7 linked regions of the Ovis aries genome follow. Each later gene encodes a partner of the first gene's protein in a complex. Links are inferred from orthologs where the notes say so. Each region holds a gene or a part of one and is shown in the gene's direction. Other genes may lie near its edges. The genes, in order: HTATSF1, SF3B2, SF3B4, DDX46, SF3A3, SF3A2 and SF3B3.

Region 1 (4,017 bases):
GCTACAAGCATGTTTCGCTCCCAACTCCACTATAGTGGTGACTCAATGACCCTCTATCACTGCCTCAGCTTCTCCTCTCACCCATACGGAACTTGGCCACAGAAGACTACTCTGCCCATGCCCACATTTCCTACTCGTCCCTCTTTCTGGGAGAGGCTTACTGGCTCAGTGAGTCAAACTCAGTCTAGAATGCGGGGCTACCCTACCAAGTCACCTCACAGGCCTCCAACTGGGTCACACAGGAGCTAAACATCAACTTTTGGCCACCTGCTCGGAAGGGCCTGTGGATACAGCAGGCGCTCAGAGTCACGTGCAGCAGGACTGCTTAGTATACCTATGAACTGCTTAGTTCACCTATGCTGTGAACCTATTCAGGAATGAAATGGAAGCTCAATAACATATTGCTGAAAACAGCTGAATACTATTTTTGGATCCTAAAAGAAATATTTAGCAAAACGTATATGAGCCCAATAAAACTCGTTATCTACACTATAAATATGCATGTAAGTTCTATCACATGCACTTTTTTCCTAAAACATCAAAAAACGACGTTAGTGGGGCAGTAAAGGTGGTGTGTACACTGGATGTTACAGTTTCAGATTTGTAGCTTGAGCAAGTCTGAAATTTGGAGAACAAGGGACAGGCAACTGTTGCCTTTCCTTTCCAGAGTCATCTCCAGCCTGAGGAAGGTACCAGAAAGAAAAGGACGGAGCAGAGACTTGGAGAGAAGGTTGGTCCTTCCACTCACCATTCGTTCGTTCATTCATTCACTCACCACACACGCACTATACATCAGACCCTGTACTACCAGCTCGGGCTAACCCGGCTCTCCTAGGGAAGTCTTCACGAAACAAGTGAAAGACTCGTTTCCCACGCGGAGGAGGGGCCTCTGGGAGAAGGAGGCGCATCTTTCTGTCGCAGCGCGTCCTGTCCCGCCTGTCCCGTCCACTCCCCCAAGATGGCGGCCGCCTCGACGCCTGCTCCGGCGCCGGCCGAGTGGGAATCTTCCCACGCCTTTGGGCTACCGCCCCGCTGCGGACCCCGCGGAGCCCAACGTTCCCAAGAGGCCGTAGGCCCTGCGCTCCCCGCGGCCCCCGCGCCAGGACAGCCCTGCTGAGCATCTCCGCTCGGCAGCAGCGCAGCTCCCGGAGCCCCGCCCCCGGGGCCCCACGCCTCTGGCCCGTGTCGGCTCCTACTGACGCCACTGGGGGCGTGCCGGTGCGCCCCGCGACGACGCGACGCGCCAACAATGGCGACTTCGTCATCCTGAGCGGGCCTCGGTTTCCAAGTGGTTTCCAGACGTTGACGCGGGAGCCGCAGTTGCCTCAGACCCGGTCGGCGGCGGCGGCGGCGGCGCGCGTGCGCGCTCCCGCCTCGACCCGGATCGGGCAGCGGCGGCGAGGCCCGGCGGGGCGAATCAGGTGGGCGGTGGCGCGGCGGGGCCGGGACCTGCGACGCGCGCGCGCGCGCGGCGGGCGGGCAGCGGGCGGAGCGGGGGGCGGTGCGGCCGCCGAGTGGCCCTGACTTCCCGGGGGCTGCTGGGGCGCCGCGGGGAGGCGGGCCGGGGGGCGGTGGGGAGCGAGCTGAGTGTGGCCAACCTCCTTTTCTCTGTTCCCCTCCAGCATCAGCTCGGCCTCTTCGCTCGACCGGACCTTGCCTCTAGGCTAAGTGGGCAACATGAGCGGCAACAACTTGGATGCGAATGACGAGTTTGATGAGCAGTTGCGAATGCAAGAATTGTACGGAGACACCAAGGACGACGACACCGAGAAAGATCCCGGTGGAGAAACCGATTCTTTCGGGCAGCAGCCGACTGACACCCCGTACGAGTGGGACCTAGACAAGAAGGCTTGGTTCCCCAAGGTAAGAGTCGCCCGGGCGCCGCTGCACAGCGGGCCCACCTGGCCAGCCTCGCGGGGCGCTCCTTTCACGTTTTCTTTGCTGAGGTCCTGGGTTAGAGCCCCTCTGGTTGTGACGTTTCTTTTTGTTGTGTCTGTGGCAGAACCGACGTGTAAAGGAACGGAAATCTTTAGGAAGATGTCTTCAATGTAATTTAATTCTTAAGTCCTTTTTATGCCTTATTAATTTTATCTATGAAGGTTGCAGTTGGTTTATGTCAGTGACTGCTTTTTATTGCAAAGAGAAAAACATCAAGAGCAAATTCAATGGATGTTAATCTCAAGGCAGTCTCAATCTTATCCTAGGAATTCAGATGGTTAACTGATGTGCTAGGTGCAAAATGCAACTTCTTGAGTTGAAAAAAATTGATAAATTGGTAAATTTTTACTGATTAAAGGTTGCATCTTTTTTTTTCTTTCCTACTAAAGTTGGTCCTAGACACGTATATTTGAACCATATCACTACAGGAATATGACAGGAGGAGCACAGAATTTGGATGGAAAGGATCTGTGCCTATTTATTTAGAGTACCTGTAAATTTTTAAGCATTCAGTTTCAGCTTGGAAGTAAAATGACGGATGTTAAACTTGGTTCTGTAAACTTTTTGGTCAGAGTACCCTGTTAATCAAAGTCTTGTGGTACAGGTGGAAAAAAAAGGATACTTATCGCACACTAATAGATTTGCAAGCCAGTGATGCAAACCGTGTCTGCATTGTGTAATTTGAGTGTTATTTTTTAAATTATTTATTTAAACTGTTTTCTTTCCCAATTTTTATTTGTGTGTATGTTCCAATCCCTCTAAATTGTTAAACTTAACATTTCACTTGGGTACTGGTGGTGCCAGCTAGAGTGCAGATTTGGTTTCTTCAGCCTTCTGAGTACTTCAACAGTCGTCTGATAGTATAGTAATTTTTGGCTCTATCTTTTTATGTTATGGAACCCATACCACTTCAAACTTCCAAGTTCAAAATTTTCCTCATTCCTATGTGTGCCTCACATTGACTGGTAGGAAGATATAACTACATTTGTTTCATTGTACAATTGTTCTTTTCTCTAAGAGCCAGGAGGATGGATGTGAGTTGGATTTGTTCTTGATTTGTTTTGACATTAAATGATAATGTGATTTGAGTACATATCCTTATGTTCATCTGTATAGTAAAAGAAAATTTGATTCTGTTGTTAGATTATTAGTTGACTGTTGGTTTTTATTCTGTTTATTGTTATCTGGTACTTCCTTTGCTATATATACTTGTAGTCTTCGTCAAGTAGACTACAGAGATAGTAATTTACAAATGAAACAACTAGGAAAGGTGCCAACATCACTTAAAATGCCTTTAATAGTATCTCAGACTTTTGTGTTGATAATCCAAGTACCCATGTCTTAATTTTTTTATTCTCTTGCACAGTTTTCTATGTAGGTGACTGTTCTTCATATATGCTTTAATTACTGTTATCCACAGAAACACTCAAATGTGACATTGTATAACTGAATATACTGTTATTTAATACAGTGTAAACTTTTCACAGTAGGAAATCATTTTTTAATGTGTGTGTGTGTGTGCACTAAACTTCTTATTTAGATCACTGAAGATTTCATTGCTACATATCAGGCCAATTATGGCTTTTCTAACGATGGCGCATCGAGTTCTACTGCAAGTATCCAAGATGTCAGTGCCAGGCCTGCAGAAGAACCTCCGCAAAGACAACCCCCTGAACCCAGTGATCTGAAAAAGAAGGGAGAAAAGAGAAAGGCTGAATCAGGCAAGTAGATTTAGCTTGCAAAACATGAGTATAAAAGTTAAAAATATGAGTATGTGTATATGTATTTACTTTTTGGAGAATTATAACTTTGACAGAATCATAAGATGGGTATTTTTAATTATTATTATTTTTATTGGGGTTCATGTGTTGGCTCTCCCACTAACCTATAGGCATCAAGCAGATTGTTTCAATTCAGTTCAGTTCTCAGTTTCTTCCTTTCCAAAACAGAATTCTTATTAGAAGATTATTTAAAGTTCTGTTTATATGGTTGGTTTGGGTTTTTTTTGGTTTTTTTTTTGGTACTTCCAGTTAAGTTAAACAAGTCAATTTTGCTTCAGCTTGGCCAGATCTGACAGTA
Region 2 (4,061 bases), on another chromosome or scaffold:
CACACATACATGCACACTGGCTGCGACCTGGCTGTCTGTGAGACAGCAGCACTAGAATGGGAACGGGATCTCAGAGCTGGAGGCAGAGGTGGGAAGATGAACTGAACTGACTGATCAGGACAGGGAGAAGCAGAAGGGGGCAAGCAAGGGCCACCTGCCCATCCCTCCCTCAGGGGCACAGGCCGCTGGTGGGGTAGGAGAGCACCAGACAGGGTCTGCTGCGCCAGTAAGCTGGTGGGGATGAGGGAAGAAAAGGTCCTGAGTTTATTTTCTTTCTTTTTCGGCCTTGCGGTGCGGCTTGTGGGATCTTAGTTACCTGACCGCGGATGGAACCCGGGTTTCCCCAGGGAAAGCACTGAGTTCGACCCACTGGACCACCAGGGAATTCCCCTGCGTTTATTTTCAAGACTAAAAAAGGATCCAAATCTTGTCGCTTAAGACTGCTTTTTTTTTTTTTTTTTCCCCCTTTCAGTAATAATTCATTGAGCACTTCTAACGCCAGGTACTGTGAGACCGTAAAAACTCATGTCTTGGGAGTTGTAAGTGCAGAAAAGGGCAAGAAAGATTTCAAAACAAATGGTAGAGGTTTGGCCGCTCCAGAGCAGGAAAGGCGGGAGACAGTTTAACGTAGATGACATTTGAGACGGCCAGGAAGGTGGAAAAAGGGGCTTTAGTGTGGCCCTTCCCCCAGGTCGGCAGCTGGATCTCAGCCCGGAGGGCCGGCTTCGTTCCCGTCTCCGATCTCCTTTCAGCCCATTCATCCATGCCTGGGCCGGGGATGGGCGGGCAGACAATCAGACACTGTTTTATCACAGGCATCGGCGGCAAACTCCCGCTTGGCGCCCACAGCGCGCGACCGCCGGGGGAACGAGTCCCTGGAGAACGTGAGCGTCCAGGCCTCTCAAGTCCAACCAGGGAGTAGCGCCGCAAGGCGGGAGGTCTGCGCTGAGGCCAGTGAGATGCAGAAAGCACGCCCTTCGGGCAGGACCTGCTTTCCCCACAGCCCCGCCCCGGCTCTGGCCTCCAGAGTTCCCCGCGTCGCGGCCGGCCGCGATCCTCCCGGATTTGAATCCGCAGAGATCGTGACCTGTGCACTACAACTCCCAGAAGGCTTCGCGACCAGGCGGCCTAAGGAGCATTGGAGAACGGTAGGGGGTGGGCCCTGATGGGAACTGCCTGGCAACCCTCGAGCGGACGTGGCGTATCGCCCTACCGGAAGTTCCGGGAAGTGGGTCCGGAGGCTGGTCCGAGCTTCCGGGTTGGTCGCGCGCCTTCCTGCGGCTAAGATGGCGGCCGAGCATCCGGAGCCTCCTAAGGGAGAGTTGCAGCTGCCGCCGCCGCCGCCTCCTGGACACTATGGTGCCTGGGCTGCCCAGGAGCTTCAGGCCAAATTAGCAGAGATCGGAGCTCCCATCCAGGGTGAGGAGCATGGGAAGTCAAGGGCAGGAAAGTGCAGGCCTGCGGGGAAGCGGAGCTGGTTACCCCGGAGACCCGGGGGCGGGGGTTAGAGGCTGGCCGCGGTGGCCTGACTTGGGCAGGCTGGCCTGCTCGACCTGACCTACCCCGTTGATCCTGTGCTTTGCTTAGCAGGGAGTCGCGAGGAGCTTGTGGAGCGATTGCAGGCTTACACTCGCCAAGTAAGTGTTGGTGGCGGGACATGAGGATAGGCCGAGCGTTTGCAGGAGGCATTAATGACCCGTTACAACTCGGTCTTCGTTGTTTACGAATCTCGGTACAGCAAGTGGGGTCTTGGCTGCTTCGTATCTGCTGTGTTATAATTGCTTTTGTATATATCGTTTCTTCCCAGAGCCCATTCCGAGCTCTGGCAGACAGTCACTGGGTAAATTTTGTTGAATAGACGAGAGCGAACGCTGTTTCATGCACCAGCTCCTTTTAGACTGCCCTAGATTCTTTTCACTTTCACAGACTGGCATCGTCCTGAATCGTCCCGTTCTGAGAGGTGAAGATGGGGACAAAGCTGCTCCTCCTCCTATGTCAGCACAGGTAAGAAGACTGTCTCACTTGATAAGATTCTTTTCTACTCAGAGTAGCTCCTCCTCTGAGCGTACAGGGGGATACACGTAGCCCACTGGGCAGGGAGGTACACTGATGAAAGAACTGGGAACTCTTCAGTTCTTCCTTCGTCCAGATTCTTACTTCCTTTCTCAGTGTCAGTTCCTCCAAATTTCATGTGTCATTTAAGATTCAGCTTAAATATCTGGAAACCTGACATAATCCTTCCCCAGCTGGAAGTAATCACTCTCTTCTCTGCCCTCCCTGTGCAGAGTTCCCATGTTATTCAATGAGAAATTAGGGCTTACTCTCTGATTTAATTTCATACCTTCTATATTTAATCAGTCATTGGGGCACACTGGGTCTTATTTATTTAAATACTCTCAATTTCCATGTCTTTTCTGATCCAGGATTTGATAGTTTTTCTGTAGAGCAGTGGCCCTGACTTGGGGTCCAGGGACTTCTATGTGTGGCATAAGAAGGTTTTTATTTTTTGAGGGGTTGAGGAGTTTTTCAGAAGGCCTTTAGAGGTGTCCGTGAGTCTCCTGAAATTGTATGTGAAGTCTGTGTTCATGATGTTCTTCTGGGACAGAGTTGACAGCTTTCATCAGTTGGTGGCACAAAGTTAAAATGCTCTTCTTTCGATACTGCCGTAGAGTATTCTTTCTTTTTTCCTTTATGTCTTTGGCTGCTCTGGGTCTTCATTGCTGTGTGCAGGCCCTTTCCAGTTGAAGCGAGCACAGGACTACTGTCTAGTTGTGTTGTGCGGCCATCCCATCGCAGTGGCCTCTGGTTGCGGAGCACGGGCTCCAGGGTATACGGGTTTCAGCAGCTGCAGCACACGCGGCACATGGGCTTAGTTGCCCCGCAGCACGTGGAATCTTCCTAGAGCAGGGCTCGAACCCATGTGCCTTGCGTTGAGCGGATTCTTAAACATTGGACCTTCAGGGAAGCCCTGCATTTTCTTGAATGCAAGAATTGTGCATCATTTGACTTTGAATCCCAGTGCCAGCCTTATATTAGTTCCCCAGCAAATGCCTGCCATTACATAAATGCTTCATAGTTAATGGCCTTTTTTTCCCCCCACAGCTCTCGGGGATTCCCATGCCGCCCCCACCCATGGGTCTCCCTCCTCTACAACCCCCTCCACCACCCCCACCACCCCCACCTGGCCTTGGCCTTGGCTTTCCTATGGCAGTTGGACCCCGCCCGCCAAACTTGGGGCCTCCTCCTCCTCTCCGGGTGGGTGAGCCCGTGGCGCTGTCTGAGGAAGAGCGGCTGAAGCTGGCGCAGCAGCAGGCGGCATTGCTGATGCAGCAGGAGGAGCGTGCCAAGCAGGTAGGGCAGGTGGCAGCCTGAGCCTGGGTCTCACCAGGGTCCTGAAAAGGGAGTAGGGCCTCCAGGGGAGCCGGATCCTGGGGCCAAGGCTTCTGGGAAGGTCTGGACCCAAGTCTTCAGGGCCTCGGCTGGAAGAGCAGACCAGGAAGCAGAGCTGTGGTAGACTGGCCGGTGGGGTGTGGGTACTGGAATGAGCTCGTTTTCTTTCTTAAGCAGGGAGATCATTCACTGAAGGAACATGAGCTTTTGGAGCAGCAGAAGCGGGTAATGCCTCCCTCTTCCTAACCTTTGACCTCCATGGTCTAATCCATCGTCTGTCACTTCTAGTGCTTACTGTCTAAAATTAGCCGTGCCATTCAGGTTTCCCATGGAGATTACCTCATCCTCATCTAAATTCCATTATCTCCCAAATAATTCTTTCTTTCACATAGCCAAGGAATTGGTAATCTGTGGACTATAGCCTGTTTTTGTATGGCCTGTGATGTAAGGATGGTTTTTATATATTTGAAGGGTTGTTTCGGGGAGATGGGGGAAAGGAATTTACAACAGTCTACAAACAACCCAGAAAGCCTAAAATATTTACTGACTGGCCCATTACAGAAGAAATTTCCTGACCCCTACTGGGCTTTCCCAATGGCTCAGTGGGTAAAGAGTCTGCCTGCAGGAGACAGGAGATGTGGGTTTAATCCCTGGGTTGGGAAGATCCCCTG
Region 3 (4,236 bases), on another chromosome or scaffold:
TAAGGAAATGGACACCACGAATATCTCCCGAGGATCACTCCAAGAAAAGAAACCCAAATACCATTCTCTCCCAATCCCGTTGAAATTGCTGGCTTTCTCATGGGCAGGGCAGAGGGTGGTCTGGGGTGAGGGAGAGTTTTGTCTAATCCTTCGGTTTTTCTTATCTGGTCTTGCTGCCTCAGCTTTCATAAACAAGATCACTGACCTGAGTTTCTATTGAGGATGAGTGGTGCTAACCTTATCCAACTCTTATCCTGCCTTGTTTGGTTTAAACAGTTCTTATCATTTGAAGAATTAAGAAACAACAACAATCCAGAAGACTGCCTCTCTTTTTCAGGGCAATTCCATGTCTTTGGGATGGAAATTTTGGATATTGCGCTGGTAAATTGTGATAATCAGATATACTGTTTATCAGTGCCAACAAGATGGCCTACAGACCTCCTTCTCACCTCCTCTTGCTGCTTAATTCCAATTTCTATTTCTTCCCTTATAGTTTTCTATGGGTATGGAATATACACAGGACACCCTATCTCTTCCAATTATATATTTTCATTGTGACATTTCTATTTAAGGAGTTCATTAAAGCACAATATTTATACACGCCGCTGGCATTGTTTGTGTCTGATTAAAGGAACCTTAGGTAAGGGAGTGGTGGGAGAGGAGGGAAAGGAATGTGACCCACGAAGGGACGGTACCGACCATATTACTGCTAAGGAAGTAAGGGGCTGGGCTGCGTGAGGCGCTGCAGGATTCACAATTTAAGGTCCTCTCTTCCGTGTAGACAGGGCAAAGGCACGCCCAGAGGTTGCTGGAGTTCAGGGTGTGCTCTGAAGGCCTCGGCCTCGGCCTCGGCCTCGGCCTCTGGGCTTCAGTATCAAACCCCCGTAAACTTCGGTACCACCCCACCTCCGAACCTCAGGTTCCCCTCCTATGCAGTGACTAGGCGAGCTCAGACATTCCACAATTCCTTCCCTGAGGAAAAAGGAAATACCTCAAGCTCAGGCCTGGGCTGTGAGGCCGCGTCTGTTCAAGGACTGCGGGTTGGGATGGACGGTTCTCCCCACGCCTTGCGTTGAGCGGTTCCTCTGTACACCCTTCTAAGGGGGAAAAAAAGGCTACAAAACACATGAAAACTAAAGTTTTGTTCTCCCAGCTTCTGAAGTGACAGTTTCGGGAGCAGTGTGACCCTTTAACTTCTAGCACTGCCTTAAAAGAGACAGAACGTTTCCTTTTCACTTTCCCCGCCGCGTCCGCTCATAGTAGCACTTCTGCACGGGAGCGTGGACCGAAGCGCACCGCTACTTCAGCCGCTTCCAGTCTCAGCGTCTCCTAAGATGGCCGAGGCCGCTTCCGGCTCCTCCCCTGCCGCGGCCCCGCCCACCACCTCACGTCAGCCTTCGCCTCGGAAGCGGAAGTAGTGACTGAGGTCAGGGGGCGGGATCGCTGCCTGGAGACGGCGGGAGCGCTTTCGCCATGGCTGCCGGGCCGATCTCCGAGCGAAACCAGGGTGACTGGAGGGGACAGACCCAGAATGGACTCTGGGGGTTTGAGGGACCTCGACTAGGCCCAGCAATGTTTCCGCTGGGGCGGGAGATTTTGCCTTTCCGAAGGGCGCCAGACTGGTCCCGATGCCTTATGGGGACGGGATGGACAGACTTGAGGCCTATAGTTGTGATGCTGTGTCCAGTCCTCTGCTGCCTTCCCACTCAAAAAAAAAAAAAAGAAAAAGAAAAGTTACAGAGTGAACTTGCACCGTCACTCTAAATTAGACATAAGATTGTCTATTTTCTGGAAAGGAGGAGCTTCTAAAAGCTTAATCTAACATCTTTTTGTTTTTTCGCTTTTCTACCCCATCTCCACGTCCACTTCCTCCGCCTGGGTTCCATCTTCATGTTCCCGTTACCTCCCTATTTCCCCTCATCTCTGTCCTTACCTCTTAATCCTGTCTTCCAGATGCCACTGTGTACGTGGGGGGCCTCGATGAGAAGGTTAGCGAACCACTGCTGTGGGAACTATTTCTCCAGGCAGGACCAGTAGTGAACACGCACATGCCAAAGGATAGAGTCACTGGTCAGCACCAAGGTGAGTACACGGCAAAAAGTACAGTTATCTATGAAAGGGACAGACTGCTCCTGGAGGTCTCCAGTGATATTAAGTTTTGGAGTGAGCAAACTAAAGATTTTGTTTCTGGAACCATTCTCAATTGAAGTTGGGATTATTATTTCTTATCCTTTGTGCTTTAGAAGACAAATGAGTTATAAACTCGTTTTTAAATCACTTCAGTTGCTAACCTCTTCTTTTCCACTTCCCCAGGCTATGGCTTTGTGGAATTCTTGAGTGAGGAAGATGCTGACTATGCCATTAAGATCATGAACATGATCAAACTCTATGGGAAGCCAATACGGGTGAACAAGGCATCAGCTCACAACAAAAACCTGGATGTGGGGGCCAACATTTTTATTGGGAACCTGGACCCGGAGATTGATGAGAAGTTGCTTTATGATACTTTTAGCGCCTTTGGGGTCATCTTACAAACCCCCAAGATTATGCGGGACCCTGACACAGGCAACTCCAAAGGTTATGCCTTTATTAATTTTGCTTCATTTGATGCTTCGGATGCAGCGATTGAGGCCATGAATGGGCAGTACCTCTGTAACCGCCCAATCACTGTGTCCTACGCATTCAAGAAGGACTCCAAGGGTGAGCGCCATGGCTCAGCCGCTGAAAGACTTCTGGCAGCACAGAACCCACTCTCCCAGGCTGACCGCCCTCATCAGCTATTTGCAGATGCACCCCCTCCACCATCTGCTCCCAATCCTGTGGTATCATCATTGGGATCTGGGCTTCCTCCACCAGGTAAAGCTTTTGATAAAAAATGTTTGTGTTGGGTTGGGAAGGGTGGGGCCAGGAAGAAGGAAAAATAACCTGGCAAGGAGAGGACATTGAGTCATTAGGTGATGAGAAAGGGGTTGAGGGATGATGATTGTGGTGGGAAGAAAGTTGTTGAGTTTTCTCCAGAAGGTTGTTGTTCAAGTCACTTAATGTTGCCGCTGACTTCAGAGAGCTGGGAGGAGGGGAAAAGAGCTCATTCGGCCTGGAGAGGCCAGGGTGGAACAGGCTCTCTAAAGGCACTCTCTGCTCACTATCATTAACTGTTTTTCCATTTTCTCTATAGGCATGCCTCCTCCTGGCTCCTTCCCACCTCCAGTACCACCTCCTGGAGCCCTTCCTCCTGGGATACCCCCAGCCATGCCACCACCACCTATGCCTCCTGGGGCTGGAGGACATGGTCCCCCATCAGCGGGAACCCCAGGGGCTGGACATCCTGGACACGGACACTCACATCCTCACCCATTCCCACCTGGTGGGATGCCCCATCCAGGTGAGCGTTCTTTGCTGGGAAGGAGAGGGATGAGCTTGATGGAGGAGCTCTGTCAGCACTTAATGCTGCTGTTCTTTGTCCTTTAACAATAATAGATAGTGCCCAAGCTCTCCTTTCTTTCAGACATTCTTTTAGGAAAAAAATGCAAGATACTTTACCGTTTATTTTAACAACCATCATGCTGTCTTCATTTCTTGTTTAAGTTTTACCAAAGAGAACAACAGGCTCTCTGCATTGGTTCTTTACCACTAGCGCCACCTGGGAAGCCCAGGCTCTCCTATCCTCATTATTTCACACCTAATTTATTTTAGTAATACCCTAACTGACACTTTGACTCTAATTATCTCTACTTTGATTGACTATCTCAGAGTAATTTTTCTTAAATACAGATATTCACACACCTTTGCTCAAAATTCTTCTGGTTGTTCCTTTTTACTTACAGAGTGAAACCCAAACTCGCTATCATAGCATTCTAGGCTTTGCATAATCTGGCTCCTGCCTGTTACTCCCATGACTACAAGCTGTTCTACTGGGTTTCCTTTAACATACTGTGCTGTTGATCACATCCATGCTTTGCACCTGCTGATTTTTTTCTGCCTGGAATGTTCTTTTCCCACTCTGTTGTCCACCTGAAAAATTCCTGTTCATCCTTTAGAATTAGATCTTTGCTGTGACAGTGTCTCTGTTATCTTCCCAGATTCTATTCAGTAGAATAATCACGCCATTCTGCAGCACTGTTACAATGCCTAAATCATGGAAGGAGCAAATGGGCTTCAGGGACTGGGGAGCTGTAGGGTAGTTGGTTGATTTATTCTCTTGGGATGGAGTCAAAGATAAGGGCACTTTTTACCAGC
Region 4 (3,500 bases), on another chromosome or scaffold:
CCCCCAGGAAAGGTTTAAAAAAAAGAAGTAAAAGTTGAGGTAGCATGCCATTGAGGGGGTTCTAATCTAATCCTATCCCAAGAAAGCCGATCCATGTGTTCAGAGCCACCACTAGTGCTGACTGGAGAAGGAAGAACAGAATGGAGCCATGTCTGCTTCTTGTTTGAAATGATTTTAAAGAATTTTTTTAGATTTAACCAAAGAACATGTTAGGTTTTAAAAACTTGTGCTTGATTAAATATTCCTTGGTACCACCCAAGCATCTGTAACTTCCCTGTTGGTGAAAAACAGTCTTTAAATAAAAATACTCTCACATGCCAAAGAAAGTTTTCTAATAAAGTTTCTCTTTAAAATAGGAAAGAAGACACGGTTATACAGGTGCTGTGAACTGATCTCAGAAAGAACTTTGAGTTTATCTTTTTGAGATACTGGTTCTTAGAGAAAATATTCACCCATAACAATGTGGATAGTATTAACTTACTCAGTTTTATACTATGTGGCCTCAGGAACAGTTTCATACAGTACAGTCAAGTACTTATTAAGCATCATATAAGATTTGGTCTCTTACTTTTTTTTTTTTGGTCTTTTTTTGATGTGAAAATAAAATTACAAGATTTTAGAGCAAGAAGGATTTTGAGATTATTTGGTGATGTCTCTGCATTATATAGATTAAGGAAACAGACCCAGAGAGTTGATCTGCCCTGTGTATGTCGCTAGCTAGTAGCAGCACCAGGATAGAAATTCTTATCTCCTAATTTTTGTATCTGTAATCTTTCTACAGCCCCGTTCTGCCCATCCTTACACTGAGGTTTTAGCTGTCTTTGAAGTTTAGATTTTTTTGCTCTAGGTCATAGATTTCGAATAGCTATTAGTACATATTTCCTCTGTTTCTCAACAAACATCGTTTCGAAATTAGTATCCTTATTTTCCCCATTGACCGCTTGTAAGAACTGGCTTAACTTGTTCCCTGTTAAACTGATTTGATAGTAAATTGAAATCTTGTCTTTAACAGTGGTAATAATTCAGAAGCTTCTTTCAACATGAGGCACAAACCATGATCTGAAATAGAAGTTCTACTTGGTCATAGAATAAATGAAATGTGTCCCCATTGCAGGCGTTCCAGAAGTAGAGAGAGAGATAGAAGTCGAGAACGAAGAAGATCTCGAAGTCGGGACAGGAGACGTTCAAGGAGTAGAAGCCGAGGCCGAAGATCCCGGTCTTCCAGTCCTGGCAATAAAAGCAAGAAAGCTGAGAATAGGTAATGTTACCATTGGCTGTATCTATCATGCGGGTTGGGAACTCTCTTCCCTACATTAAAAAAAAAAAATCCTTGTAAATACTGAATTTGGCTGCTACCGTGAGCTGTTAGCTTAATTTCATTTCAGTAAGTTATAAAGCTTGTAGTGCTTTTAGAAGATACCTAAATTCTGTTAGTTTTAACACTCATAATGCATTATTCCTTCATTTAATACCTACTGTTAATGATCAGAAGTACATTTTATATACATCTTTGTGGGAACTATGTTTTTTTTCTTTGAAGTTATTTTCTTAGTGTTTCTACTGTTGATTGACAAATAACATTTTTACATTGCTGAACTGCTATTCATAATGGGTGAACTTTGCTTGTGTAAGTTAAATCTGCATGTTTCCTTAAGATGTTAGTACCATTCAATTTTGAGATATTAATTATATCTATTAGACATAATATGTTTACTCTATATTTCTCTTGTTAATGCTTTGTTCTTTGCCTATTAGTGTTTCTAAAGTGGTGTCCTGGCATATATAGCTTTGTTTTTGTTTTTTTTGTATTGGTTATGAAGATTTTTCCTCATTTATTTACTTTATAAATTGTACTTTTGTTTTATCAGGTCAGTGTTATAATGCCCATTGGGATAATTTTAAATTTAAAATATAAATTCAGAGAAATGAATGAAATACAAACATGCAGTTTATTGAAAAAGTATAAAGCAAGATTCATGTAACCACCACCAAAGTTAAGAAATAGAACATTATCTGTATCCCACTGGAAGCCCTGCATGTCCCTTTGCTAACCCAGCTTTCTATTTGTCTAGATAAAATCATTGCTGACTTTGGTGTTAGTAATGTCCTAATTGTTTCTTTATAAATGGAAAAAGAATAATTCAGGTTTATTGTTTTTTAATTTTATGTGAATGAGTCATGTCTTCTGTGTTTTTGGTAAACCTTGGGAGTTTGCTCTGTTGCTCATAACATTGCTGCTGCTGCTGCTGCTACTGCTAAGTCTCTTCAGTCGTGTCCGACTCTGTGTGACCCCATAGACGGCAGCCCACCAGGCTCCCCTGTCCCTGGGGTTCTCCACGCAAGAAGCCTGGAGTGGGTTGCCATTTCCTTCTCCAACGCATGAAAGTGAAAAGTGAAAGTGAAGTCGCTTAGTCGTGTCCGACTCTTAGTGACCCCATGGACTGCAGCCTATCACGCTCCTCCGTCCATGGGATTTTCCAGGCAAGAGTACTGGAGTGGGTTGCCGTTGCCTTCTCCGCTCATAACATTAGTTTATTTTATTGCTGAACCACTATCCTGTGGTGTAAATATGTGTGCTCAGTTGTGTCTGACTCTTTGGGACCCCATGGATTGTAGCCTGCCAGGCTCCTCTGTCCATGGAAGTTTCCGGGAAAGAATACTGAAACAGGTTGCTGTTTCCTCCTCCAGGGGATCTTCCTGAACTGGGGATGGAAGCCAGATCTCTTGGGTCTCCTGCATGGGCAGGTGGATTCTTTCCCACTGAGCCATCTTGGAAGCCCCGTAATATAAATATTCCGCTTTATTTATCCATTCTGCTGAGCTGGATGTTTGAGTTGTGTTACCTCTGAGGCTGTTATGACCATCTTTGTATATATATATCCTAGTATCCATGGGTATGGGCTTCCGTGGCGGCTCAGTGAATAATCCACCTGCATTGCAGGAGACCCGAGTTCCGGAGTTGGACACCACTGAGCGATTAAGCATAGTAGCATATACACATGTATGCGTTTCCCTTAGGTGTATAGCTAGGAATGAAGTTACATTGTCATAGAATAAACATAGCTTCACTTTAACTAAGTAATCCCAAATGCTTTCCAAGGAGTATATACTAATTACACTTCCAGCAGTATATGAGAATTGTGTCCCTTCATACCCAGTATTAGGTATTGTCATTCCTTTAAATTTTTATTTGATAGACATGTAATAAAAATATCATTATGGTATTAATTTGCATTTCTTTGATTACTGGTGAAGTTAAACACCTTTCCGTATGTTTTTTGGTCATTCAGATTTCTTCTTCTAAAGTACATGTTTTAAAAAATACATGTTTAAACCTTTTTCTCATTTTCCTATTGGTTTTTCTTTTTAAAAAATTGATTTATAGAAGTTTTTGTTTTTAAATGTTCCATATAATTGTCATTTGTTATATGAGTGGCAGATATTTTTACTCTGATTTATCTCTTTCTCTGTAATGATACTTTTGAGGAACAAAGACTTGG
Region 5 (4,215 bases), on another chromosome or scaffold:
TTACATATCATAAAATTCATTCGAGTGTACAATTCAGTTGAGTTTAGCAAATTTAATAGATTTTTGCAACTATCACCACAATTCAATTTTAGAATTTTGCTACTGCTACTGCTGCTGCTGCTAAGTCACTTCAGTCGTGTCCGACCCTGTGCAACGCCATAGACAGCAGCCTCCCAGGCTCCTCTGTCCCTGGGACTCTCCAGGCAAGAGTACTGGAGTGGGTTGCCATTTCCTTTTCCAAGAATTTTTCTATCACCTCCAAAAGATTGCTTTTGCATTTCCTTCCCATCTCACCTCTAGCAGCAGGCAACCACTCACCTACTTTCTGTCTCTGTAGATTTGCCATCTGGACGTCCACTAATGTGTGTGTGTGTGTGTGTGTTGTTGTTTTTTTCTGCGTGTCTGCTTTCTTTCACATAACATGATGCTTTCATGGTTCATCCATATTGTAACACTCCTTTATTGCTGAATAATGTTCCATTGTATGGATACACCATATTTGGTTTGTATATTTACCAGTTAATGACTGGGGGTAGCAGCTTTGTTGATAATGAATAGTGCTGCTATGCATGTCTGCACATATGGACATAGGTTTTCATTTCTCCAGCTAGATGTGGGCATATAGACTTGTTTCGGTTTTTTTTTTTCCAGTTATATAATATTTTACTGCTTGAATGCACTATATTTTATTTAACCAGTCCCTTGGGTTTCCCAGGTGGCACTAGTGGTAAAGAACCTGTCTGCTAATGCAGGAGACATAAGAGATGTGGGTTTGTTCCCTGGATGGGGAAGATCCCCTGGAGGAGGGGATGGAGACCCACTCCAGTATTCTTGCCTGAAGAACCTCTTGGACAGAGGACCCTGGCGGGTTATGGTCCATAGGGTCGCAAGGAATCGAACATGATTGAAGCGACTTAGCACGCACGCAGCACTGCTGATAGACAATTAGGTTGTTTCCACATAACAAAAGAGAGGAAGGGAAGGAGAAAGAAAAGAATAAATGAAAGGAAAAAAACCCGCGATCATTCCCATTTTACTGAGGGAAAAACGTTGTCACAGGTCACACTGAGCTGGAGACTCAAGTTCCGGTTCATCAGCTCCCATACGTGCGCGTCAGCTACTCAGTCCAGGTCCCTACCAGCACGGCCGCACAGCTAGGGAAGTCCCCGCCGGCCAGGTCAGATTCCTTAACGCCAGGCTGATGGATTTCTGTGTGCCCCCTAGAGGCACCTGCAAATCGTTCGGTATCGCGCCACACACCTCCGGCCAGCAGGGGGCACTGCAGCAGTCTCCATAGCACGGACTGGGTCTTTAGCGGTGCTCACTTTTCCTCGAGTCCCCGAGGAACTTCCGGCAACCGCGGAACTTTGGTGCCTCCGGACTCGTAACTTGCGGACGCGGGCGCGCAAGGCGGCAGGGGTTGTTTCCGGTCGTGTTGGTGGACTGGCTTGAGCTGGGGCGGCAGCGACTGCGGCGGCGGGGGAGGAGAAGGAGGAGGGAAGATGGAAACGATTCTGGAGCAGCAGCGGCGCTATCATGAGGAGAAGGAACGGCTTATGGATGTCATGGCCAAAGAGATGCTCACTAAGAAGTCCACGGTGAGTGGACCTAGGCAGGGGCTACCGTAAGGCCGGGCCCCCGGCCCGGGTTTAACCTCAGAGTTTTTTTCAGCCCTCAGACCCGCCCCGCCCCGAGCCCTTCGGGGGATTCCCTCCCCGAGCTCAGGCCTAGGTAACCTTTCCCCGGGGCCCAGCGCCCAGAGGCCTCTCTGCTTGGGCTGCTAAGACCCGAGCAGGTAAGCTCCGCCCTCGGGCGGCCTTCCCAACTCCAGAATTCCGACTAACGGCGTATATGTCACCGTTTGCCTTTTTTCAGCTCCGGGACCAGATCAATTCTGACCACCGCACGCGGGCCATGCAAGATGTGAGTGTCCCGCTGTCCGCTTCTCTTTGGGCACGGTAGACTGGAAGAGGAGGGAGGGGGTGCGGGAAAAAGGTAGCCGATTGGCCAGTCGAGGAGTTTGTATGCCTGCCGAATGTACGCGCCGAAAGCAACCCTGAGGATGTTTAACCACCCTTACTCCCTTCTCCGAATGGAGTACTCTTACTCATTTTTAATTACTAGAGAAGATCCCCTTTACAGCATCCTGTGTCCCATGGATGTGCAAAGAGTAGTTATGAGGTGTCAATGCCTCAGGCTTAGAAGGTACTCTCCTTCTCCCCCATAGAAAAAAAAATAAAGACCCTAATCAGAGTTTCTGAATTAGGATAGATAAATATTACTAGCCCCTAATCCCTTATTTAGATTCCCAAATCCAAAGTATTCTGAAAACAAAAGATGTTTTAATTTGTTTTGGAAATTATTTGGTGGCAAAAATCTGACTTGATCTGATCAGATGAGAGGTTTTTTATGGTCTTTATCCCATTCAATAAATAACATAACTTTCACTGCAGAACTAATTAATGTGTTTTCCAGATCCCACTAGGGATATTTCATGTAGTACCTTCCTGAATTCCAAATTCAGAAGCAAATCTGGTTCCAAAAGTTTTGGAGAATGGGCTATGTACTTGTGCCATCCTGAATTTGAATCCAGAGGAAGCTGTGTGGTGTTTTACTTAGCCTGAGCATTCCTTAGTCAAGCCTTTTGAAATAGTGGAAGTCAACTTGGACTACCCTTTTATCTTTGAGAGTCTTTGATGGGAACTGCTGTTTTCCAAAGGGTGACTCTCACATGGCTCTCTTTTACAATACAATACTTCTACTGTTGTTTAGTTGTTAAGTCATGTCCGACTCTTGCAACCCAATGGACTGTAGCTTATCAGGCTCCTCTGTCCATGGGATTTCCCAGTCAAGAATGCTAGAGTGGATTACCTTTTCCTTCTCCCGACCCAGGGATCCAACCCACGTCTTGTGCATTGGCAGGCAGATTCTTTACCACTGACCCATCAGGGAAGCCCATGACTCTTCTAGGGAAAGTTAAATATGGGAACTCTGCCACCCCTCAAAACACATTTCTTAGGTAATCTTCAGAGTGACCTGTTTTAAAAATTAGCTAGGAGCCAGTGTTGTCTGTTAAGGGTACCAGAAAGCATAAGAACTTTTAACACCACATGTCTTGAAGTTTTCCTGAGATTTGACTAGAGAGCCCTTGTTGGTTGCTTGGGTCTCAGTTGTACGGGCGGATTGCTTCATTCTAATGGATTTGTGTTTGCCTTTCAGAGGTATATGGAAGTCAGTGGGAATCTGAGGGATTTGTATGACGACAAGGATGGGTAAGTCACAGTCACATTCAGTCCAGCAATTACTGCTTTTGAGGGGCCATGGTTAAAGGACTGACTTTGTGCTCCATGTTTTCTGGATTTTTTTCTGAAATTGCAGCTTACGAAAAGAGGAGCTCAATGCCATTTCAGGACCCAATGAGTTTGCTGAATTCTATAATAGACTCAAACAAATAAAGGAATTCCACCGGAAGCACCCAAATGAGGTATGACCTTGCAAAGTTTTTTCTCCAGTCCTGTCCAAAGAGTATACAAAGGACATGTGTTAGGAAAATGGAGATGGTCATTCAGATGTCCTTTCAAAAAGGAACTTACCAGTTAGCAATAAGCAGCGTAGTTAGGTGACATCCTGCAACTGCGAGTTCTTTCAGAATTTCCCTCAGCTTTAAGCTAAAGCCATTCTCTTCTAGGGCTTCCCAGGTGGCTCTCATGGTAAAGAAGCTGCCTGCTAATTCCCTGGTGGTTCAGTGGTAAAGACTGCCTGCACTGCAGCAGTTGCAGGTCCAGTCCTTGGGTCTGGAAGATCCCCTGGAGGAGGACATGTCAACCCACTCCAGTATTCTTGCTTGGGAAATCCCATGGACAGAGGAGCTCGGCGGGCTGCAGTCCATAGGGTCGTAAAGAGAGTTGGGCACGACTGAAGCGACAGAGCACACATATTCCTGGGCAGCCCCTAACCAGCGACTGAACACAGTGTGGGGGAGGGGTATCACAGCCTGGTTATTTCTGCCCACTGTGAGACTTTCAGTGAGATTTTCTCATATCTACATCATGGTCTAGGCTCTCTCTGCTCCATCCCTCCATCCTGCTCGCTCTCTCCTTTCTTTTTTTTTTTTGGTGGCCACACCTCATAGTTCATGAGTTCTTAGTTCCCCAAACAAGGATCAGAACCGTGTCCCCTGCATTGGAAGCATGGAGTCTTAACCACTGGACCACC
Region 6 (3,105 bases), on another chromosome or scaffold:
GGTAATTGTCGATGCCCTGGGTGGGCAGTCCCTCACCCACCTCCAGCTTCACCAGTGGCCTCAGCTTCCATTAGAGGCTTCCTGCCCTGAGGGCGGGGGCCTTAGTGTCTCCTCTGCTCTTTATACTCCTAGCAGAGGTGGGTGCGAGGGTGGGAGGGGACTGCAGGCCCTGGTGTAGTCCTTTCCTCTGACCTTAGAACTGGGTGCTGGTGCCTTTTCACATGGAGAGAGAGTAAAGGAAAGAGGAGGCTTACCTGGGCCAGCAGCTGCAGAGGATCGGGTTGCCAGGGAGGAGGGGAAGGCAGGCCTCCTTGCAGGTGTTCTTGCTGAAGTGGGCACACCCTGTGTATGACTGGCGTTTCAGACAAGACATGGCTTGGGAAGGCCCTGGAGTGGTCCAGCTTGGTGAGCCAGGGCGAGGATGGCACTACCCCCAGGGAGGCCACCACAGGCCTTTTGGTCAGTCTGGGTCATCTGGCCTCTTCCTGGCTGTGTCAGGGAGACACTAAGTGCCTGAGGGCGCATATGAAGGGCCCCGGAGCTGTGTGGAGAGCAGCCCAAAGCCACAGAGCTAGACTGTGATGGGCACCCGCTCCCAGAAGGTCTGGTGGAGGAGGGTGGGCAGTGGGGAGCCCACCCTCTGCCCCCACCCAAGTGATATCAGGCAGGTGGCACCTGGGGCACAGCCCTCCCACCCTTGGGCCAATGACTGCTAGTTGCCCAGCAGGGTGACCTCCCCCCACTTGCCAAGCCAGCTCTCCCATTCGTGGGTGACATTAGGCCAGTCCTAGGACCCCGTTACTGGACCTGACATCCTCCTGTGTTGCAGTAACCAAGCAGAGAGATACAGAGATGGGCCAGCAGAGCCTCCTTTTCCAGGTGAGCAAAGGCCGGGAACCCTTTGTCCTGAGGGGAGGGGCCCCTGAGAGGCAGTGCTGTCACTGGCCGTGTCCCTGCAGATCGACTACCCTGAGATTGCCGAGGGCATCATGCCCCGACACCGCTTCATGTCTGCCTACGAGCAGAGGATCGAGCCCCCGGACCGGCGCTGGCAGTACCTACTCATGGCCGCTGAGCCCTATGAGACCATCGCCTTCAAGGTAGTTTGCTGGGACCCCGGAGGGTCCTGCAGGGTCTGCTCCATCCAAGCAGCTGGCCCCAGCCCACACCAGGCGCCCCCTCTGGGCCCTTGCCTCCTGAGGGTTGTCAGAAGACGATGCAGAGTGAGGGCAGGGGCTGGGTGTCCACCGTGAATCAGACCCTGGCATGGCCCTAGCAGTGAGGTGGCCCTGTTACCAGGCTGTGCAGGACTCTGACCTGGTCCAATTCTCAGATACATGTTAACGAGACAGGGTAGGTTGCAGCTTCCCTGGGTGGCAGGGCTGCTAAGCAGTGGAGCAAGAATGCCAGCTGTCACCCCCACGTCAGACCCTGTTCCCTCATAGAAGGGCCTCCTGGGCCAGGCCATTTCATGGTCCTGAGGGCCTGTCTGCCCCTCTACCCCGCACAGGTGCCAAGCAGGGAAATAGACAAGGCTGAAGGCAAGTTCTGGACTCACTGGAACCGGGAAACCAAGCAAGTGAGTCAGTCCATGTCCATGCAGTTCCCCATCCTTCTCCCACCCCAAGGCCTCTGGGACCCTACTCAGTTTTTCCTGTCTGTCCAGTTTTTCCTCCAGTTCCACTTCAAGATGGAGAAGCCACCAGCCCCACCGAGCCTTCCTGCTGGGCCTCCTGGGGTGAAACGGCCCCCACCCCCACTGATGAACGGCCTGCCCCCTCGCCCGCCACTACCAGAGTCGCTGCCTCCGCCCCCACCAGGAGGCCTGCCCCTGCCACCGATGCCGCCCAGTGGGCCTGCACCCTCAGGGCCCCCAGGCCCTCCTCAGCTGCCCCCACCGGCTCCTGGGGTCCACCCACCAGCACCGGTGGTCCACCCACCAGCCTCTGGGGTGCATCCCCCTGCTCCTGGGGTCCATCCCCCAGCTCCTGGGGTCCACCCCCCGGCACCAGTGGTTCACCCACCAGCATCTGGGGTCCACCCCCCTGCTCCAGGGGTCCACCCTCCAGCCCCAGGAGTCCACCCTCCTGCTCCGGGAGTCCACCCTCCAGCCCCAGGGGTCCATCCTCCCCCATCTGCTGGTGTTCACCCCCAGGCACCAGTGGTGCACCCACCAGCTCCTGCAGTTCACCCCCAGGCTCCGGGGGTGCACCCGACTCCTGCCGTTCACCCCCAGGCTCCAGGGGTCCACCCACCAGCTCCTGGGGTCCACCCACCAGCCCCTGGGATCCACCCCCAGCCTCCTGGGGTCCACCCCCCTCCTCCTGGGGTCCATCCTCCGGCTCCTGGGGTCCATCCTCAGCCACCTGGGGTGCACCCCTCAAATCCTGGGGTGCACCCCCCAACGCCCATGCCCCCGATGCTGAGGCCTCCACTGCCCTCCGAAGGCCCTGGGAACATTCCTCCCCCTCCCCCCACCAACTGAAAAGCCACCCCCATCCTAGCAAGTCTGGTTTGGTTTTCCTGGGTTTCGCCCTCAGAGTAGAGTTCTTTTGTACTGGGCTGGGTGTCCTCAGAGCTCATTAAAGAGTCTGCTGACCCTGAACTGGACTGCTGTGTTAACCTGTGGGCGGTCAGCTTGCTGTGGGTGAACACACGTGACTGCTTTCCACCACCATAGGGGGTGTCAGGGTCCCACCTGGACCACAGGGGGTGGCCCCTGCTGTCTCTGCAAGGACAGACCCTGTGGGCCAGCAGAATGTGGGGTGGTTCTCTGGGAAGACAGCAGAGCGAAGAAGGCTGCTCACTCTCCTTGGGGGTCTCTGTGGGCCTCAGAGGTAGGGTGAGCGAGCACGTGGGGTCACTGGGGGACAGACCTGCCTACCCGATGTGAAGCGTCATCCCCCTTGGGGCTGGCACCTGAATCCTCCTGGGGCAGGGGCTCCACACCTTGCCCTCCAACACCCCCAGGTTGTTGATAGTCTGACTGTCTGGGGCATGCACTCCTGCTCACATTCCTGCTCTGGGGAGGGGAAAGATTTGTCAAGGACAGTCTGACAAATGGGTCACAGGCCACACACACTGTATCACTGCTCAGGAGATAGA
Region 7 (3,500 bases), on another chromosome or scaffold:
AACAGTGATATATTTTCATTTCCTAAAAGTTAGGTTGGCTTAGGAAATTTGGTGCATTATGCTTGTCAAAGGTCTCTTTATTATCTTGTCAGTAATTTTGCTTGCCATTAGCCTGTAGAGTTCAGTCTTGGAAACTCAAGTTGAGAAATTTTTGCTCGTCGATGATAGAGTGAGAGGAAGCAAAAAAGAACTTATTTAGCAAGCCCCCTTTCTTCTCCAGGCTCGGGAGTTGGGGACGGGGTGGCGTGGTCTGTGACCTCTCCCTGTCTTCAATCCTGTAGTCGGGACAGCTGAACGAGTACACGGAGCGGAAGGAGATGTCGGCGGATGTGGTGTGCATGAGCCTGGCCAATGTGCCCCCTGGGGAGCAGCGGTCTCGCTTTCTGGCTGTGGGGCTGGTGGACAACACTGTCAGGATCATCTCCTTGGACCCCTCGGTGAGTGTCACCCTCCATTTCAAGGATCTTCCAGTTGGAACCTGAGCACCCGGCCCATTCTTGATGTCCCTCTCTGAGATCAGCTGGGCTGGGCCCTGAATCTAGACTTCTGCTGCTTCTGATTATTGTAGCAGCACACCTCATGAATCGCCTGCAGTGCTTTAAAAGGACTGATCCAAGACTACTAAATGTGTCTTTGGCTTAAGTCCTGATTCCCTTTTTTAGTTTAAACGAACGAAAACAAAATCCAAGACTGTGTTTACAGAAAAGAGCCTTAGATGACTCTAAAGAGGTACCCTTTGCTTATTTAGTTTTACCATTCTCCACTTCTACAAAAAAGAGAAAGCCCAATCCTCTCCAGAGCTTGTTTTAAGGTTTAGTTCTCTAGTGACCCCGTACCTGTTGAGAACTCATTCTTCAGGTTTTCCATGTCCATGAAAAAGAGCTGTTCTTCACTTCTAAGAATTAGATTTTTCTGGGTAGGTTTTTTTCCAGAGTTGGTCACTTGCCGTATTCTGTTTTCTCTTTCCACTTTAGGACTGTTTACAGCCTTTGAGCATGCAGGCTCTCCCGGCCCAGCCCGAGTCCTTGTGTATTGTGGAAATGGGTGGGACCGAGAAGCAGGATGAGCTGGGGGAGAGAGGCTCTATTGGCTTCTTGTACCTGAATATTGGACTCCAGGTAAGAGGTCCAGAAACCCTCACTCCTGGGGTCAGGGCGTCTTTTCTCCATGGCTGCTTTGTGTAACGCAGGTGTTTTCTGTGCCTGTGTGTTAGTTACCCGCCTTGTGAGAAGGGATCAGTTTTGCTCTCTGTTCCACTTGTTTTAGCTCTAATTTAGAAGAAATCAGGGCTGGAAAAAAGTATTTTCTAGAGTCTGATAAAACTGCTTAGCAGTGACTGTTTTGGGACAGAGCTATATTGCCTCTGGTTTCCACAGTTTGCAGTTGTGAGACTGTAATCCAGTTGTCCCTCAGTGTCCTTGGGGTTGGTTCCAGGATCTCTCTTGGATACCAAAATCAGAAGATACTCAAGTCCCTTATATAAGATGGCATAATGTTTGTATTTTTTCGTAACCTTTAATTAAATCATCTCTAGATTACTTAATTGCCTAATACAAGGTAAATGCTGTATAAATAGTTGCTGTACATGTGCAGCCAATTCAAGTTTAGTTTTTTGGCATTTTCTGCTTTTGTTCCCCCTGAAATATTTTTGATCTGTGGTTGGTTGAATTGTGGATTCGAAATCCAAGGATACAGAGGGCCTCACAGTTCATGATGGGCTCCGTTAGCAGTAAAGGGCTCCTCGGTGTACCCTGTTGTCAAAGCACCTAGGCTCTTCATGGCATGAAAGGCAGGAACCCAAGAATCAGAGAGTATCAGGGGTTTTGACCATATCCTTTTTTTTTTTTTTCGCCTAGCCCAGGAGACTGTTTGGTTTTTAATTTTACTTCCTAATTTAGAAATTCTCAAACATGCCCAGGAGTTAGACTAACGAAATGCACCTCCATGCACCCATCACCAGTTACCAGCATTTTGCCTTTCCCTTCTCTTCTCTTTAAGGCAGATCCAATTTAGTGTCATCTATAAGGGCTTGAGAACGTAGCTATAACAGAGGAGTGCGTGTGTGTGTGTTTTGAAGCTCTAATATTATGGTTAACAGAATGTAAGTTCCTTAGTATCATCTGATACCCCCATATTCTCATTTTCTCCCTTTTTTATCCTGTTCTGGAAAAAGTTTTTACTTTTGGTTCTACTCAGAATGCATAAAACTGTCCAGTTTTTATCTGCTTAATCTTCTCACATTATTTTATTTCATTATTTATTTGACTGTGTCAGGCCTTAGTTGAAGCATGTGGGATCTTGTTCCCTGATCAGGGATTGAAACCGGGCCCCCTGCGTCAGGAGCACAGTCTCAGCCACTGGACCACCAGGAAGCCCTCACATTTCTTTTAATAACTGTCTCAACTTGTTAAAAAGAAACCAGATCATTGTTCTTGGGGACCTTCCTACTTCCCATCCTGCGCCTGTGCTGGCCTCCCAGAAAATCACAGCGCGATTCTTCCTCATCCCCAGGGCGGAGCGTGTGTTCCTGATTCTGGATGGTGCATCCAGTTTACTGCCTCTGCTGTGGGGGCTGCATCACAGCCTTCAAACCTGAGTTCTTGGATAAACACTTCACTTTTCCCCCTTTGTTCACTATTTTTAGAGTAAGAGGTTGGTGCCATCGCAGTCTCCAGTGAAGACTGCTGAAATGCTTTTTATTTTAATTTTAGATAACATTTGCAGGTTTTTATATTTACATCAGACTATCACAGTCTTTCTTTTAGAAGCTAAGTTGCCACAATATAGAAAAGTGGGAATTTTCCTTCTGAAGTTGCCTCCTTTGTCCATTTAACAGGTGCCTACTATCTTTGGGGGCTTCCTCCTAGCACAAGAAAGTACTCCACACACATCTAGAACATTTTTGCTTCAGACTGGAATAAGGCATTTCTCTCAGGAATCTTTTATTTTTTTAAGGGAAGTGGTATTTAGAGACCACAATAGGCATGGGTATGTTAAACTGTACATGTATCTTAAAATTGTAAAGGGTCTAACATAAAGGGTAAAAAATTTTAAGGATATACGGTAAAAGGAAACTGCTTTTCACTTAGTAAATGCTCAGTAACTATTTGAGTGAGTGGTTTAGGAAAATGAATGAATGGCTGGCTGATGACTATATATTTAAACCGCCCAGTCATTTTCTTCCAACTGAAATAGGGTAGCTAAAGAAGCTTCCATTATGGGTAGGCCTTAACCACCTCTCTCATTTTTATTAGAATGGTGTGTTGCTGAGAACTGTCCTGGACCCTGTCACTGGGGACCTGTCTGACACCCGCACTAGGTACCTGGGGTCCCGTCCTGTGAAACTGTTTCGTGTCCGGATGCAAGGCCAGGAGGCAGTAAGTAATGAAAGGGGCAGAATGTGTGTGTGGATATTAGTGGCATCAGCTGAGCCCTGTGGTGTAAATCTTGCTGTCAGTAATTCACCAGTGTTGTAGTTAGTTAGTTGGACATTAGCTTTA

The links.
Region 2: HTATSF1 (region 1) and SF3B2 share a complex: the UniProt entries of both Homo sapiens proteins name them as parts of the 17S U2 SnRNP complex. The link is inferred for Ovis aries from reciprocal best matches to the Homo sapiens genes HTATSF1 and SF3B2.
Region 3: HTATSF1 (region 1) and SF3B4 share a complex: the UniProt entries of both Homo sapiens proteins name them as parts of the 17S U2 SnRNP complex. The link is inferred for Ovis aries from reciprocal best matches to the Homo sapiens genes HTATSF1 and SF3B4.
Region 4: HTATSF1 (region 1) and DDX46 share a complex: the UniProt entries of both Homo sapiens proteins name them as parts of the 17S U2 SnRNP complex. The link is inferred for Ovis aries from reciprocal best matches to the Homo sapiens genes HTATSF1 and DDX46.
Region 5: HTATSF1 (region 1) and SF3A3 share a complex: the UniProt entries of both Homo sapiens proteins name them as parts of the 17S U2 SnRNP complex. The link is inferred for Ovis aries from reciprocal best matches to the Homo sapiens genes HTATSF1 and SF3A3.
Region 6: HTATSF1 (region 1) and SF3A2 share a complex: the UniProt entries of both Homo sapiens proteins name them as parts of the 17S U2 SnRNP complex. The link is inferred for Ovis aries from reciprocal best matches to the Homo sapiens genes HTATSF1 and SF3A2.
Region 7: HTATSF1 (region 1) and SF3B3 share a complex: the UniProt entries of both Homo sapiens proteins name them as parts of the 17S U2 SnRNP complex. The link is inferred for Ovis aries from reciprocal best matches to the Homo sapiens genes HTATSF1 and SF3B3.

What each region holds. Positions count from the first base shown.
Region 1 is NC_056080.1:98,729,608-98,733,624, reverse strand, and holds the start of HTATSF1 (HIV Tat-specific factor 1), read left to right. Parts: upstream 1-1,217; 5' UTR 1,218-1,421; intron 1,422-1,622; 5' UTR 1,623-1,677; coding exon 1,678-1,863; intron 1,864-3,478; coding exon 3,479-3,659; intron 3,660-4,017. UniProt on the Homo sapiens protein: Component of the 17S U2 SnRNP complex of the spliceosome, a large ribonucleoprotein complex that removes introns from transcribed pre-mRNAs.
Region 2 is NC_056074.1:40,571,895-40,575,955, forward strand, and holds the start of SF3B2 (splicing factor 3B subunit 2), read left to right. Parts: upstream 1-1,261; 5' UTR 1,262-1,286; coding exon 1,287-1,419; intron 1,420-1,587; coding exon 1,588-1,637; intron 1,638-1,926; coding exon 1,927-2,004; intron 2,005-3,102; coding exon 3,103-3,351; intron 3,352-3,564; coding exon 3,565-3,615; intron 3,616-4,061. UniProt on the Homo sapiens protein: Component of the 17S U2 SnRNP complex of the spliceosome, a large ribonucleoprotein complex that removes introns from transcribed pre-mRNAs.
Region 3 is NC_056054.1:100,033,289-100,037,524, reverse strand, and holds the start of SF3B4 (splicing factor 3B subunit 4), read left to right. Parts: upstream 1-1,436; 5' UTR 1,437-1,473; coding exon 1,474-1,507; intron 1,508-1,953; coding exon 1,954-2,082; intron 2,083-2,313; coding exon 2,314-2,856; intron 2,857-3,175; coding exon 3,176-3,382; intron 3,383-4,236. UniProt on the Homo sapiens protein: Component of the 17S U2 SnRNP complex of the spliceosome, a large ribonucleoprotein complex that removes introns from transcribed pre-mRNAs.
Region 4 is NC_056058.1:43,891,725-43,895,224, forward strand, and holds part of DDX46 (probable ATP-dependent RNA helicase DDX46), read left to right. Parts: intron 1-1,114; coding exon 1,115-1,258; intron 1,259-3,500. UniProt on the Homo sapiens protein: Component of the 17S U2 SnRNP complex of the spliceosome, a large ribonucleoprotein complex that removes introns from transcribed pre-mRNAs.
Region 5 is NC_056054.1:12,733,427-12,737,641, reverse strand, and holds the start of SF3A3 (splicing factor 3A subunit 3), read left to right. Parts: upstream 1-1,415; 5' UTR 1,416-1,502; coding exon 1,503-1,598; intron 1,599-1,875; coding exon 1,876-1,923; intron 1,924-3,219; coding exon 3,220-3,272; intron 3,273-3,378; coding exon 3,379-3,484; intron 3,485-4,215. UniProt on the Homo sapiens protein: Component of the 17S U2 SnRNP complex of the spliceosome, a large ribonucleoprotein complex that removes introns from transcribed pre-mRNAs.
Region 6 is NC_056058.1:19,189,566-19,192,670, forward strand, and holds the end of SF3A2 (splicing factor 3A subunit 2), read left to right. Parts: coding exon 1-1; intron 2-829; coding exon 830-879; intron 880-959; coding exon 960-1,100; intron 1,101-1,510; coding exon 1,511-1,579; intron 1,580-1,666; coding exon 1,667-2,485; 3' UTR 2,486-2,605; downstream 2,606-3,105. UniProt on the Homo sapiens protein: Component of the 17S U2 SnRNP complex of the spliceosome, a large ribonucleoprotein complex that removes introns from transcribed pre-mRNAs.
Region 7 is NC_056067.1:1,088,206-1,091,705, reverse strand, and holds part of SF3B3 (splicing factor 3B subunit 3), read left to right. Parts: intron 1-281; coding exon 282-437; intron 438-974; coding exon 975-1,118; intron 1,119-3,254; coding exon 3,255-3,377; intron 3,378-3,500. UniProt on the Homo sapiens protein: Component of the 17S U2 SnRNP complex of the spliceosome, a large ribonucleoprotein complex that removes introns from transcribed pre-mRNAs.